2 linked regions of the Lepisosteus oculatus genome follow. The protein of the gene in region 1 purifies or fractionates together with the protein of each later gene. This does not show direct contact. Links are inferred from orthologs where the notes say so. Each region holds a gene or a part of one and is shown in the gene's direction. Other genes may lie near its edges.

Region 1 (7,523 bases):
TGGAATCCAATTTTATCGGAGAGCTAGACTGCCTGTCTGTGTGCTCTAAGATACAATTAAAATCCCCTCCCACTATCACGTCTGTGCTACATAACAATAGGGGAGAGTGCCTTGAGTAGCTCCACCCTTCCTCCCACCTCAGTAGGACAATACACATTGATTAGCCGCAGGTTAACGGTCCCCCATTCCACATCCACACACAGCAACCTGCCAGCTATTACCCTCTGAATACTTTTCAATTTGAATGCCCATCCTTTGAAAAGAATGGCCACGCCAGAGGCTCTGTTGTTATTGTCCCCTGACCAAACAGAAGGCCCTTTATCCCACCTATCTTCAAAGCTTTTATACCTCTCTTGATAGGCTAAAGCACACTCCTGCAACATCAACACATCTCCCTCTCTCTGCTGGAGGTAATCAAAGACAGACTGGCATTTAACTCTGTCATTGATACCTCTGGTGTTAAGAGAAATTATGTTTAGAGCCATATTACATAAGAAAGTGGAACCAGTCTTTACAAAACACATTTCTCTTCTGTCTCACCTGTTACCTTCTTCTTTTTCTTCTTACCAATTTCCTGCCAGCCATCCTCTGAATGAGCCTTCATTAGGATGGTCTCCTCTTCCCCCTCACCCACCAGCTGCCGCAGATCCTTCGTGATGGACTGGATGGAGGAGAGGAGGGCATCTGTAGCACTTGCAGAGTCTGAGAAAAGCAGCTCCGCTGAATCCTGGGTATCCTCGCTGGACCCGCTCCACCGGGGGGCCCCACACTGGCCCTCGTTCTGAGGAGCAGGAGTGGGGGAGGGGTCCTCGCTGTTCTCGGGGGTTTTCAAACCCTCGTGCTTGTCTGGTGCAGTCTGCGGTTGTGGGGGCGTAGTGGATTTCTCTTCCACCAGCCCCGGAGCCACAGCAGGACTGATCCTGGCTGGAGGCTGAGAGTCTTTGTCCAACAAGGGTTCTTTGTTTGACTTGTTGTTTGCTTTGGCTTTTCGGGCCGGTTTGGCTGAAACAAGCACTGCCTCATCCTTTCTCATTTTGAGTTTATTGGCGTAGGCGTGAGGGCAGTTCTTAAAAACGTGTCCTTCCGAGCCACATAAATTGCACTTTGGCAGCATTGAACAGTCAGAGGCTAAATGTCCCTGTTTGCCACAGGTCTTGCAGCATTTCACAGTGCAGGACGATGCCAGATGTCCCACAGCACCACAGCGCCGACACACCTTTGGTTGTCCCACATAAAACACATAGCCATTGCAGGCGCCCAGCCGGATTGTAGAGGGCAGGTGCCTTAAGCGTCCATTTACGCTGTCCGGTAGCAAGCGAACTTCGAATTTCCCTGCTCCTGTTTTTATACCGTCAACATCTCTAACCTCAGTTCCATGGTGGACGGTGCAGTACTGGTTAAGCCAGGTGTGAATGTCCTCCGTCTTTGCCAGTTCCGAGAACATAACAACATGCACCGTTTTCCTCTCTCTCTGTGTCAGAGGCTGCAAGTTGATCTTCTCAAGTGCAGGAACTTTCCCTCTTTTTGCCTCAAACACATCCACGCATTGTTCAAACAGAGGATAGGTAGCAAATAGAACCTCAAATGCTTTCTGACCTGGGAGAGCGAAGATGAAATCCAAGTTCCGAGGTTCAAAGCCGAGCTCCTTCTGTAACACTTTTCTGCTGAACTGCACACGATCCATGAAGAGGTCATCCAAAAGCTCAAAACGTACAGCATTCTTGCGGGATCCAAAGGTTGCCATTTCAAAAACTGCAAAACAAACACTGCTCCCACAAAACAAGAAAACAATCCAACTACTCCACCTACAGGCTGATCAAGGTATCTCCCCTGCCATCTCAGTAGGACAATTGATTAGACGTTGATTAGATGCTGGTTAATGGTTCCCCAATCAACACACAGTCACCTGCCAAAACTTTTTTGCATACCTCAGCTTGCTCTCCATGAGACACAGACATGAGGAGAAGCTTGGGGTTAGATAGCAGGGTCAGCCATTGTACAGCACCCCTGGAGCAGCTGGGGCCCAATGGGGTAGGATTCCTCTGCCAGCCCCTGGATTTTACCTTCCAGCCACAGGTGCAGATCCTTAGCCACAATGTCACCACTCAATTCAAGAAGTTTTGTTGGCATGACCAATAAAAAAATCACTGTTGCCACATCATATATAATCAACATAAGATCTACAGACATTTACAATATAGAGACATCATAATACATTTACATACAAATATATGGAGCATTATTGAGGCCATCTACCACTCTCATCTATCACTCCTAGACTGGGAGAGCACGGATACATTTTGGAAACTGTGGTTCATACCCCGGCTCTCTTTGCTGTATTTGTCTGCTGAACTGCATGTTGTCCATAATAAGACAATCCAGGAGCTCAAAGCACAGTGCATTCCTATGACTTCCAACACCTTTCATTTTCTAAAGCTCTGGGGAAAAATACTACGGCTTGTTGCCAACAGCACCACAGAGAAAGGCACTTCTCCATCAGCTATGTGATCATGGTATCGACCCTCTCAGTGTACAATCATTACCTTTGACAATCTGTTTGCAAGGCAAGGTGTTGTCAGGTCCTGGTGTTCTTTTTATATACTTCTATTTTATTTATTCATACTCTGTCTTGTAACACTATCTCAAAGATGATCTAAAACGATGCCTGATGAGTAGATGAGCACACTGAATTTAACAATGATGTTTTTAGTAGAAGATGAAAGGGCACTTGTGTGCTGGCTTGGTATAACTCATTAATCAGTGGATCTCATCCAGCAGTGTTCCACCTGTCCTTTTAGTTTGTTCCATGCTGCTACCACTCTTTGTGCTTTTCTTTCACGTTAAATTTAATGGAGATCTCCTGAGCTCCCCTCTGTACTTTATTTTGTGTTTAAATGCTTCTGCTGAAGAAATGTATTGCAACAGGCCAAGGGCGGCTTTACATGTGTGAAATTCAGTGATTACACCTGAGAATTAAGTTCCGAATTCATCATCCCACTTAAAAAAAAAAACAGTTTTGAGAGTATGTCTGAGAGTAAAGCCCAGAGTTACATCTCCCTGTGATCAAATCCCTTTCCAGTAGTGATCTTAACTAGAAGTGATATAAATTGCTTATTTTTTCTCTAAGCCTAGTCCTAACTTAGTCCAACTTAGTTGGTTTGTTGGACACAGACAGTCCGAGCTCTGTGGATATTTGGATACTTCCTTAGGCACACGGATCAGCAATCTTCACCTGTGAATTCTAATGTATGGCATTGTTCCAAGTTAAATGAACCAGTGCCTGTACCAATCATGGCCTCCTAATAACCCCCATCTATGAACTGGCTTCATCTCTGTTCTCTTCCACAAGAGCTCCTGTGTGGTGAGTGTACTGTGAGTGCAGTATGGGCTGCTGTCGCATCATCCCATCAATCAGTCTGTATAAACCTATGCACATTTTGCACATATTTTATTGCTTTTACAGTGACTATGATCATCACATTTTGCACACACCTATGTATTTATTTTTTATTTTGTTGTCTTTTGTTTTATAACTATTCTTAAGTCTGTTTTTGCTTGTCTTAGGCTGGACTGCTGTAACACATCAATTTCCCTACGGGATTAATAAAGTATTATCTATCTATCATCCAGGTGGGGCTGCACACTGGTGGTGGAGGAGAGTCCCCATTACCTGTAAAGCACTTTGAGTGGAGTGTCCAGAAAAGCGCTATATAAGTATAAGGAATTATTATGATTTCCATTTTTAATATGTCCTGTTTAACAGAATATCGTTTAAAAAAAATTCACAAAAGGCACTAAAACTGAAACGAGAGTGACCACAAAATCCTTTGCCCACAATTTTGTTTGATGTGGTTCTAATCACGTTTTCCCGTTTTGTTTTAGGTTCTGCTGGTATCATTACAGTAGACCAGACACCCTCTGTTTTTTTTTTTTTGCCGGAGGAGAGGAAACTACCACTGCCAGTGTAAAAGTGTTACTGATCACAGAGACATGGAGATGTATCAGATGAAACCAGCCCTCGTTTTATAATTCGGCTTCACTTTTCCCGGGATGAAACTCGGTTTGGTGGCAGTAACACTAATGCTGACCACACATTCACGGAAAAAAAAAACTTTTAGCGCTGCTCAGGACACGTGCATCGTACATTTGCACTGTCGACATATATACACTTCTGTCAATCAATGGCACAACGAATTCAGAGACTGATTATATGTCATCAACAAGCTCAGAAAAACACAGCTTCCGCTGACACAATCCTCCTCTTTAACTAGTAACGCAGCGCTCGAGCTCGTCGTTTCTCCATCCTATTGGGTTATTCGGCAATCAATCATGGTGACGTACCCTTATCTCGCAGCTCCGTCTGTCCTCAGTCGCCATTGGCTGGTTTGTCTTAAAAAAACACCCATTTGCTGACGTGCTCCCTTTCCCGATTGGCTGCTGGCCTCGGTTTAAATTTAAAATGTACTGGGCGGTTTGCAGCGCTTGAACGTCAGGTACGGACTTGAGTGTGAAGAAAGCTGTTCGCGTTTGATGCTGTTTTACTCGTCGTTCGAGGTACGTATGAGTTTGTGCCGGGCTTTAGAAGTAATTGTTGCATGTTTCGGCGCTTTTTATTTTTGATGGAAATCGTCTCTGGGCAGACAGCGGGGTTACGGGGAGAATCGCAGCTTTCTTGGTAGTTGTGTTTTGGATTTTGCGCCTGTAAGGGAAAACGGAAAATTATCTGTCGGCCAGGTTTCACCGGGTAAGCCGCAGTACGTCTTCACTTTCGAGCTGCTTTATTCGTGATGGGACGGATGAATTGCGGCGTTGCTGTGATGCGGGTCAGCCGAAAGACAGTTCATGTGTGCGGGTGTGAGGCCGTGTTCACTCGCGGCTGCCTGCTTCAATGGCTGGATAAGTCATGATCGTGTCATTAAGTGTTGCTAAATCACTGAACGCAACGCCGAACTGCAGGCCTGTTTGTGACAATCAGACTTCTTGGAGGAAAGCTGTCACCTGGGTGAGTTTTTAGAAATTGCCAGTTACGTGTGAATCTCTCTTTAGTCTGTCGAAGCCCGTTTTTCAAGTTTAAGACGCGGTCTATCGCCTGAACCCACAGTACAGGCGATAACGTCTTTGTTGCTCATCTTTGCTAATGATCGATGAGGATGTAATAAAATCAGATGATCGCTGCATCCTTTCGGCTCAGTTCCGGGAAACGTGCATGGAACTTGCTTTCTTGTCCTCACATGTTTAAACGGGGCTGGGAGGTCCTCTCTATGCGGTGACGTAATCTTGCGAAGTACAGACTGTCGGTGAGAGAGAGATAATTCGTCTTTCTTTTTATGTCGTGAATGGGTTTTATGCCTGTGCTATTTGAATTCAACCACAGGTCCTAGAGTTGGACTTTTATCGTTTCTGGCTTCTGATAGCCCCTCCCGCAAGATAACATCTTTGTGTTTAAAATGGTAAATCTTCAGACACGATAGGGACACGTTCTTTGTCACCTACAATAAAAGAGCCAAGTGAAAAATCAGTGCTTTCCAGTATGGTCACATGGGCTGTATCTCAAGGTTTCTGGAACATGTCATTCCGCCCCTGCTTGGGAGTCTTGTTTTTTGTTCTGGTCTTGTGATGACACTGCCATAATGAAATTCATTGTTTTGGTTGGACTACAGGACTGGAAGCTGCTGTGTTTCAGCCTGTGTTGCTGTGTGTGGCCAGTGGTTTTATAGTCATGGAATGCACTGTTTCCTAAACATCAGTAAATAAGTTGAGCATTTACACAATGTTTAGTACATACTAGATTAGTTCTGCAGTGGTTGCCTTCAAAGAGGTTTAAGGATTTATATCTTTTCACAAGAAATCTGGGAAACTGTTTTTTGCTCTGTCACACATTTAGTGAGGTCAAACTGCATGTGATTCTTTTTTAAAAAATCCCAAATTCTTAATTCAGTATGGAAAATGACACCCGGCACTCTACTCCTGACTTGTATGTAGTTTTTGTTTTAAAATTCAAACATATACTGTACATAATCCAGTTAATGAGGGCTGAAAGCAATGAGTGGACCGAATCATGTCCACTGTGTAGTAACTAAAGGTACAGTGAATTTGTGCTGAAGGTGAGTGATATAGTGGATATGAAGTGGTATTGACAGTGGAGTCATGCTGAGTGTGCTTTTCCAAATTGGTCTCCACTGTTATCTGCCAGCCCAGCTGTGGAGCTGGCACTCTGGGCGTGGCCTGTCACTCACACTGGCTGTCTGCTCGCAGGATGAGTGTGGTTGCCGTGAACGATGAAAACTTTGGCGTGGATCCTGCACGAAGCTGCATCAGTTTGGAGACTTGCGATATCCTGCAGCCCACAGGAAGACCCTCCATCTTGCGCCAGTCCCAAAAGGAAAACATGCCTCCTAAAAGCTTGGCAAAGGGAGTGAAGGTATAGAACTTCTGAACTGTGTAAAACGCAATCCTCTTTCCAAATGAGCTCCGTTGGATCTTTTTAATTAAGCCCTTGAACACCTGTGTTGGAGAAGATGGGTACAGTTGCCACGTCTCCCTTTTGTTTCAGGTCTGTTTTCAGACGCCCTTGCGAGACCCCGTGACGCGCAAGATTGTCTCGTCAAACAAGGGAAGCCAGGTGGAGCGTGCTGATGGTCTGGATGACTGCACCAAGGCTATGGAAACTCTTTCCCTGGAAAACCACCCTGCTGCCATCACAGGGTGAGCTGCTGATGTGGGTTTGCGTTTGGTAGAACAGGAATCCACCAGTATTCTTACTCTTTATACCTGCTGCCACTGTTCTTTTTTCTGTGCTTCCTGAGGGGAGAGGAAGGGATAGGCAAAGGTGTTCTTGCCCAAGAGCTGTGCCCTAGAGTACTGTGTATGAGAGGTCACAAAGGAAGAGTCTGGCAAATGTTGAGTTTACCTGGACTTTTTGTGACCAAGCCTACTGAAATAGGACACTCTTTTGAGCTCTCAATACTTATTTTAGAGTGACTACAACTTCTACAGTCTTAATTCTTCATTTTACTGTGCTTTTTAGGTTTATTTTCTGAGCAAAGATTTTGGGACCAGGAGTCCTTTCCCTTTTGCCTTACTTTGCAGGAGTCTCCTGCTTGTTTTGAAGTCTGAAATATTTTGCAGAAAAATTACAAAGTCAGCATTGCATCTTACTTCTTGGGTAAAATTGTAATGTTGTATGTTTTAAACCACTTTAATTTCAAGGTCTTTCAAGGTTAAGACTTTACATGTTTGGATATGCCTATTTAACTGCATGACATTTAGGTCAGTGTTCTTGAATGTCAATACCTTAATACCTTTATATACCAGAAGTGGTGAATTTGACCTATTAGCATTTTAATGATTTTTTAAGACCAGTTGCTAGGCTTATCCATCTGGCTGTAACAAAAGGAGAACTGATGATTGTGGCAGAGGAGGAGCTGAGGAAAGGCCAGGATTTGTTGTGAGCATTTTGCTTGAGGAAGCAACAGTGTGTGTTTAGAAGTAAATGAAACATTTTTCCAAGAGGTTGAGACCTG
Region 2 (7,139 bases), on another chromosome or scaffold:
TTAATTAATATAATATAATAAGGCTCATGCTAATATTGCATCTGTATAGTGGCAGTGTGGGCTAATCTTTTTTTGATGATAGCTTGGCATTTTCAGTATCTTGATTCCCTGCAAGTCTGTTTCAAGCTGACAATACTGAAATATTAAAATGGCTTCTGTTCCTATTCATGCATGCTTCCAGAAAATATGCCCTCTCATTTTGGCCATGAACGTTGGCCGTTTGGTACTCCTTTCTACCACGAGCGAGAATGGTATAGAGAATTTTTCACAAACTGGTAATGTAATACTTTTGTTCTTATATTGTGCCAAAATGAAACCTCTGCGGGCTGCAGTTAGAACCTTGTTCTAAGTGTGAGATCATTAAATTGAGTGGTGTTTAATGTAAAAGTGGTTCCTGTACCGATATCCTGAAAGCTGCTGTTCAGATTCATGTACATTTCAGTGCATCTCTTGCACCAACTTGGACCAACTTTGCTTAAGTTTTCCCTTTTCATTCTGTGACAAACGATAAATACCGTTGGAGGAGAAAATAGGACTTTGTTCTTTTTAAATTATTCACATAGACCAGAACTCAAACACGTACTAAACCTTCCAGTACGCTTTTTGCACTAAAAAAAGGAAAAAAAAAGTGCAGTGAAAAAAGTTCCTTGTGGACCTTTCTTTGAGGCTATTTAGATGTATTTGGTGATGGCCAGGAGGTAGTCTGTTCAAAGAAAGCATATTGCATATCAGAAAGCTTTTTTTAATGATGGGAAAAGAGGACATTTTGGCAGTTACTCAGAATATTTGAATCTGCCGAGATGTTTTTTACCTGCCAAGATAATTTATTGACCGGCATGCTCTTGGTTATTGCCCACGGTACTGGCAGAATGTTGCTTTTCTTATGTATCAGATCTACTCGTACATAAAAAAGGACCTATGGGGGCTGGTGTTGGAATCTCACATGGCCAGTTAAGTTAGACATCTACAGAGTTTCTTTCACTTAAGGCACAAAAGGCATTTGAAGCATTTGACACTACCAAGACTGGTTTATATAGAGCACAGGGCAAATTAGGGGTGTCAGATCAACACCTTCATTCAGTACTATATAAATCTGGGTTGTTTTTAAGAGGAAAAGTTAGGAATGTTTTGTTAAAGTACATAACCCTTTTTACTTAATATTAACAACACCCTTTACTGCTAAATTTTATTCCTATTCCTGTTTATTTGCAATTAGTAAATACAAAGACACTCTGTACATGTTACTAGCAATGAAGATTGTACTAAAAGAATTATATTTTTAAAAAGCTTTACACAAACTTTAAGCTTTTCCCAATAGTTAAGCATTAAAGGCCAAATCAAATTTCTGATTAAAATGTTTTTGAAGGTGGAACCTGATTGATTTTACCTTAAATCCTAGTGCTGTCTTACAGTACAATGCTAAATTCTAAGGTTCCATACTGTATAAGGTTGTTTAAGACTTTCTTTTAGATGGAGAAAAGAATCCTACTGTATGTGGGAATTACTGGGCCTTCTCTATTGAGGCGAACTAGTTTTAGACTAGGGTGAGCCTGTGGTATATGTAATGATTATTTTAAATAAATAATTTTACATTAATTAAGAATACAGAGCTTAAAGAGGCCCAGCAGAAGGAAAGCATTAGGTGTTGAATGCTTGTAAGGTTTACTATGTATACTAACCTTGTTTCTTGGCCTGGGTGCATTTAAATCAATACAGTGTTTCCTTATGGTTTTGCTGTGTGGTCATGGCTGTTGAGATGGAGTGGCAGGTGGGGGTGGCCAGTGGTGACAGACGTGGTGTACTCTTCCCATCTGTCTGGTAGTGCTTTTCCCCACAAAATCCTTTCTGCGATCAAATCTGTCCCACCAGCATTTCTATGTCAAGGCAAAAAAAAAAATTAGGCTTAATGTATGACTCCAGGCAGATTGGAAATACATCACCAAGCACTTTCTGCACCAGTCAGTTCAGGATAACGTCATCGGTACAAGCTTAAGTGTAAGTAGCCAAGGACTTGTTCTGCGTTTTGCTGGCAGTGTGGCCATGTTTTTTTAAATATAAACCTTTTATTTATTTTATAGTGTCTTTGAAAGTGGCTTTTCAAACTGCTTTATAGAACAAAAAAACCCCACAAATTTATAGGAGATAGTAAATGGCTGTATAACCTACTGTAGAAAAAACAGGTATGCCCCAGTACTAAGAAAGACTCAAAAATAATTGCTGCTTGTTTAATATACTGTAGTATTTTACAGATTGTCATAAAATATAAACTTTGTGGTGTATCTCAAAGGGTTAAGGATTTTGAGTTTCTAATTAGTACATATTGTCCTTAAAACACATAATGTACATTCCGGGAAACCTATTTTAATGACAGTGGTTATTTTAGAAATCTCTCTTTTCTTGTTTTATATTTCTAGAAGGAAAATATGAGCCGTTCAGAGAAAAAAAAACGCATTTCAGGGTACAAATCCAGTTTGTTTTGGGATTTTGGCTTTTTGTGTTGGTGAAAGTGGATTGTCAGTTTTTGTGTGGCTCTGATATTAATTTTCTCCCCTGCCTTTACTGCTGCTTCATCAAAGTTGTGCTGACTCTCGACTAGGAAGTAAAGTAAAATGCCCTGTGTTTCTAAAGGATGGGCATAATAGAAGTTAAAACTGATTTCAATTTGGACAAAATAACAAACCACTCAGAAATCAAGCAAATTAGTACGACGTTCCTAGTGAATGAACGAATGAAGAGTAGTGGGAATGCCTGGCTTTTTATTACAGGGGTTTTCTTTCTGGAGTTCAGCACTGTTGCATTTACTTTCTCCATCCAGTATATTTCTGTGTGTTCTGGATTCTGTACTTTCCTTTTATAGCAGCATTATGCCACACTGGCCTTGGAACAACCACAAGTCAAAGCAGCAGTGCCCTTGCAGCTGCTTCCCATCACAGCTCACTTTGACAGCCTCCTGTCTGCACATCTTGCATGGCAGATAACGCTTTATTGAATGGTTAAATATCGTCAGCTTGTGAACATGGAATTCAGGGTCTTGAGCCCAGCAGCGACCCTTCCAGAAAATCAATGTCCATCTGTTCTTCCGCAACTTGAAAGTATAAGTGTGACAAGGTGGTGTGATAAATAATGAAAAAGAATAAATAATTAAGGAGTCTAACGCTGAAGGACGTCTGAATGTTGGAATGAGATGCAGACTGTCCTTTGCATTTGCCGTTTTGCTGTGAAGTGTTTTAATTTTTGTTTTCTTTGTTTTCTATGGTTGGTTATATATGTTTTCTTTTTGTAATGCAGTAATTATAGCCTGGCTACAGTAATTATCTTCCTGTTTACTCGTAAGGCATTTTTCATTGAGAAAAATGTGAACCATTGTTTTTTTTTGTGTGCTCTTGGGCTCTCTCTATCATCAGGACCACTGGGCATTTACTAGGAAAGTACAAGAAATACAGTGGGCTTGGCAGCAACCACACATCGTTTCGTTGATGCACTGCAATTAAGGGAGTAGCACCTATATTCACAGAAGTATTAGGATTAATATTTATTAATATATTAAGATTAGCTTTACGTTATTTCATGCATACCTTTTAAAGGAGTTCAGGTGGGTAGCTGCATCAGCATGCGTAGGCTGCAAAGGAAAAAGTAATAGGTTTATTCCATGCTGAAAAAAAGAAGAAAGAAAACACAACGTTTCGGTGTGGGGCCACACACCTGAAGGAGGCCCCACGGCGAAACGTGTTTTCTTTCTTCTTTTTTTCAGCATGGAATATACCTTTTAAAGTGTCACATTTGACTGTTATTTTTTCAATCTCTGACTCTGCTTTGTTTCTCTTGGAATCTGGCAGTATGGCTTTTTTAGAGAACAGAGAAAACATCCTCAGCAGTGTAAGGGCTCTGTGGCTCCCCGTCTGAAAAGATGGTGTTTGTGGGGGAGGAAGGCTTTAGCTGGAAAATTAAATACACACGGCTCTCTTCAGTCAGCAAGTTTATTCTAGGGAGCAGGGACATTCTTTAAGGGCTGCCCATCCCTACAGAATTAGCGCAGAAGGAGGGGTTCTCTTTGCTGGCCAGATGGGCAGGAGAGGAGCTTCAGTCTGAGGCTGGGTTCAGTCGAGCGAGGAAGAAAGACTCTAACCATGAGGTTCCTTAATGTGGTGAATACTCAGGACCAAGTGGCTGTAAAAGTGCTGGACACGCCCACTCTCCTCATGACTGAGATGTCTATTGCTGTGTAAGTTTTTTCATTGAAATGATGTCATATCTCCATATGGTGCTATTGTTGACAAGGGGAATGAGATGGGGAAAGTAATCTCTTGTATATGTGTAGTATTTTAGTGTCATGTGGTTGGTTATATTTCCGTCATGTTTCCTTAATGTTTTGTTCGGTAGGACTGTACCTACAGTAGGTGCTCGGATAACATACTGGATACAGCATATGAGCTGTGATCAGATTTGAAGTGGGACTTAAATAACTCATGACTAGCCTGCTATCACAGGCCAGTGCTGCACTAATCCATTAATAGGCTGATGTAGAATTAGACCCTCTTCTTGGTTTGGCAGTGGTTATATTTATACGAACCACATCACTTTCATTTTTGTCTCTTCATCTTTAGAAATCCGCCAATTGCTGGAGTTTTTCGTGGAAGAAAAACCAAAATGTGTACAGTATATGAAGTATGGGAGCACAGTGTCGGTGAAGCCTGTTTGTTTATCTTCTGTTAAATCCCACCGTGCACAAAGATGGGAGGTCGCAGAAAGTGGTGTGATGCCGGATCATTTTTTTAATTTATTCTAGTGAATATATGGTGTTTATTTCTGCCCCACTAATCTGTGGCCTCCCCAGGCTTTGAAAATTAATGGAACTTGATCCACAGTTCTGTGTACTTCATTCTTATAGCCACTTTTAAGTGGATAGTATGGTTCTGAAAAACCAGTTTTGTGCTGTCTTCCCAAAGTAGAGGTAGTTTTTGCTTTTTCATCAGCATCTTTTTTTATATGCGCATATTTAGCTGTTCTGCTAGTAGGTTTTACATAGATTGTCAAGATCCATGTGCAAACAATAACCTTCCCTTTATCTGCTTTTGAAACTGGAGAACTGTTTTTGTCAGCACATCTCTGTTAAGGTTTTAAACTTTTCTCAGGCTGCTGTGTTTAAATCATAAACAAACATAAAAACACCACACTTATCACTGTTTTCAGTCTTTGCTTGGGAGCTGCCATTTGAATTGGATGACTTATTTCTCTTGCACTACAACACTGTACCCTAAGATTGTTAGGGTACACTTGGATATGATGCACTTGATACTTGGGGAACTGTGGCATACTTGAGTTTCTGTATTATAGTAATAAGTTTCTATAGCCCAGTGAAGTAAGCTGAAATTCTGTTTACTCAGAGAGCCATCTCTAGGAATTTGCCGGATACAGCCAGCTGTACATTCTTTTCAGGACAGAGATAGCAATAAGGCTTGCTTTCTTTCTCAAATTTTTGTTGTGCTGCTGTTGGAATGGAAGATGGGTTCTGAAGGGAAAATAGGTTCAAGATGTGTACTAGAAACTTGCACTGCCACAATTTCTGATTAATGCATCAAGAAATGTATAGACAATTCCTGCCTTGTACTGTTTGTTGGCAGACTAACTGAACACAGGACTATATAATTTATAGTAATGCTATATTAACATTTATTTTTCTCTTAAAAATACTTAATGAGGTTGTCAGTCGTCACATAAATGTGGAAGCATGCTGGTTAAGGAGTCTCAGATTTTGTCACACAAGGACTTTTTACCCCTTTCTGGAAAGTTATGTAGCAGGAAATGCTTCATGAATATATCACATTATTTTAACAGATGTACAAAATAACTGGGTTCAAGCAGGCCTCCAAGTTGTAATAAGATACCAGAACCAGATTTAAAGACAGACTGTGAACTTGCATGGTGGGTTTAAAAGTTTCCTTAGGTTTACTTGGAGAGATTCAACAAAGCTGATTCTTCAAGAGCCCTGGCGATTTTTTTGTCATGCATCCATATTATTCTTAATTGTTTTGTATTCTTAATCCTCTGTCTGCATTGGAGTAATTTCAAAATTTCCCCTTGTTCTGGTTTCATCTAGGTCTTGAAGTAGTAATTTAGGTTCTCTGTGGGGTTTTTAATAGATTTTGAATATCTTGGTCGTATTTCCTTATTTTTTCCCAAGAGATTTAGTATGTTTAACCTGCCTAATGTTATCCTTTCACTTGGCAGATTCATCGTTTTAGATATTTGTGGTGTGCCATGCCAGCCAACATTCTCTCCCAACACAGCATGATGACAGTTACTGTACACACATGATACTTCATTACAGTACTATATATAATATATATGCACTCATCCCTCATTAAACGAGCACTGCATTTACAAGTACTTGCTAAAAAAGGCAAATGCGCATATCTGTTTTTGTAAGATGAGTGACTTTTCCCTGCTAATATAAGCTCTGAGAGTGTAGCTTGTTCTTCTTTTCCATTTTTTGCTCCTCTTGGCTGTCTGCACAACTGATGCGCATTTCTCTCCTGATGTCACCTCTCCCACGATCTTCAATGCTTTCTCACAGTCTGCAAGTAATGGGTCTACACAAATTTAATTCATTTGAAAATTTTTGTTTAGTAAGAAATTTAGATTAGTTCATTTTATATTGTTGGTATACTATAGAGATCATGCAAATTGTATTTCTCCCCATAACTGCTCCTAATACATTTAAATGTAACAACTGCCATAAAAAAAGTGGGAAATTCTACTTGCATAGCAATTCATAGGTCCACAGTATCGGTATCAATGTATCAGAAAAAGTACCTCAGATGGTTTGTGTCCGGTTATGAACACTTGGAATGCAAATTCTTCTATGTTTTACTGTTAATTAAAGATCAATAACAATATTTTATTGTAGATTTTGGGTTTGCTTTTGTAATCTTGGACCCAGTTGTGCTGGTATAATAAAGGGATGAGTGTATAAGCTACTACATCTTAAAATTGAGGGGGAACAAGCCGGAAAACATTTTCAGTATGGACAGAACAGACTTGTTTTGAAATGGATGCTGAAAAGAACATAGCTTTCCAAAGGAGAGAAAACATCAGACTTCAAAAGGACCAGGCTCAAGCTAACCTTTATTCTCTGTGCT

The links.
Region 2: the proteins of tacc3 (region 1) and enah purify together in Homo sapiens (co-immunoprecipitation; 3 studies listed by BioGRID and IntAct, with this or other methods). This does not show direct contact. The link is inferred for Lepisosteus oculatus from reciprocal best matches to the Homo sapiens genes TACC3 and ENAH.

The regions. Positions count from the first base shown.
Region 1 is NC_090696.1:5,719,385-5,726,907, forward strand, and holds the start of tacc3 (transforming acidic coiled-coil-containing protein 3), read left to right. Parts: upstream 1-4,445; 5' UTR 4,446-4,554; intron 4,555-6,255; 5' UTR 6,256-6,256; coding exon 6,257-6,421; intron 6,422-6,553; coding exon 6,554-6,705; intron 6,706-7,523. UniProt on the Homo sapiens protein: Plays a role in the microtubule-dependent coupling of the nucleus and the centrosome. Involved in the processes that regulate centrosome-mediated interkinetic nuclear migration (INM) of neural progenitors.
Region 2 is NC_090697.1:58,666,733-58,673,871, forward strand, and holds the start of enah (protein enabled homolog), read left to right. Parts: upstream 1-4,035; 5' UTR 4,036-4,127; coding exon 4,128-4,222; intron 4,223-7,139. UniProt on the Homo sapiens protein: Ena/VASP proteins are actin-associated proteins involved in a range of processes dependent on cytoskeleton remodeling and cell polarity such as axon guidance and lamellipodial and filopodial dynamics in migrating cells.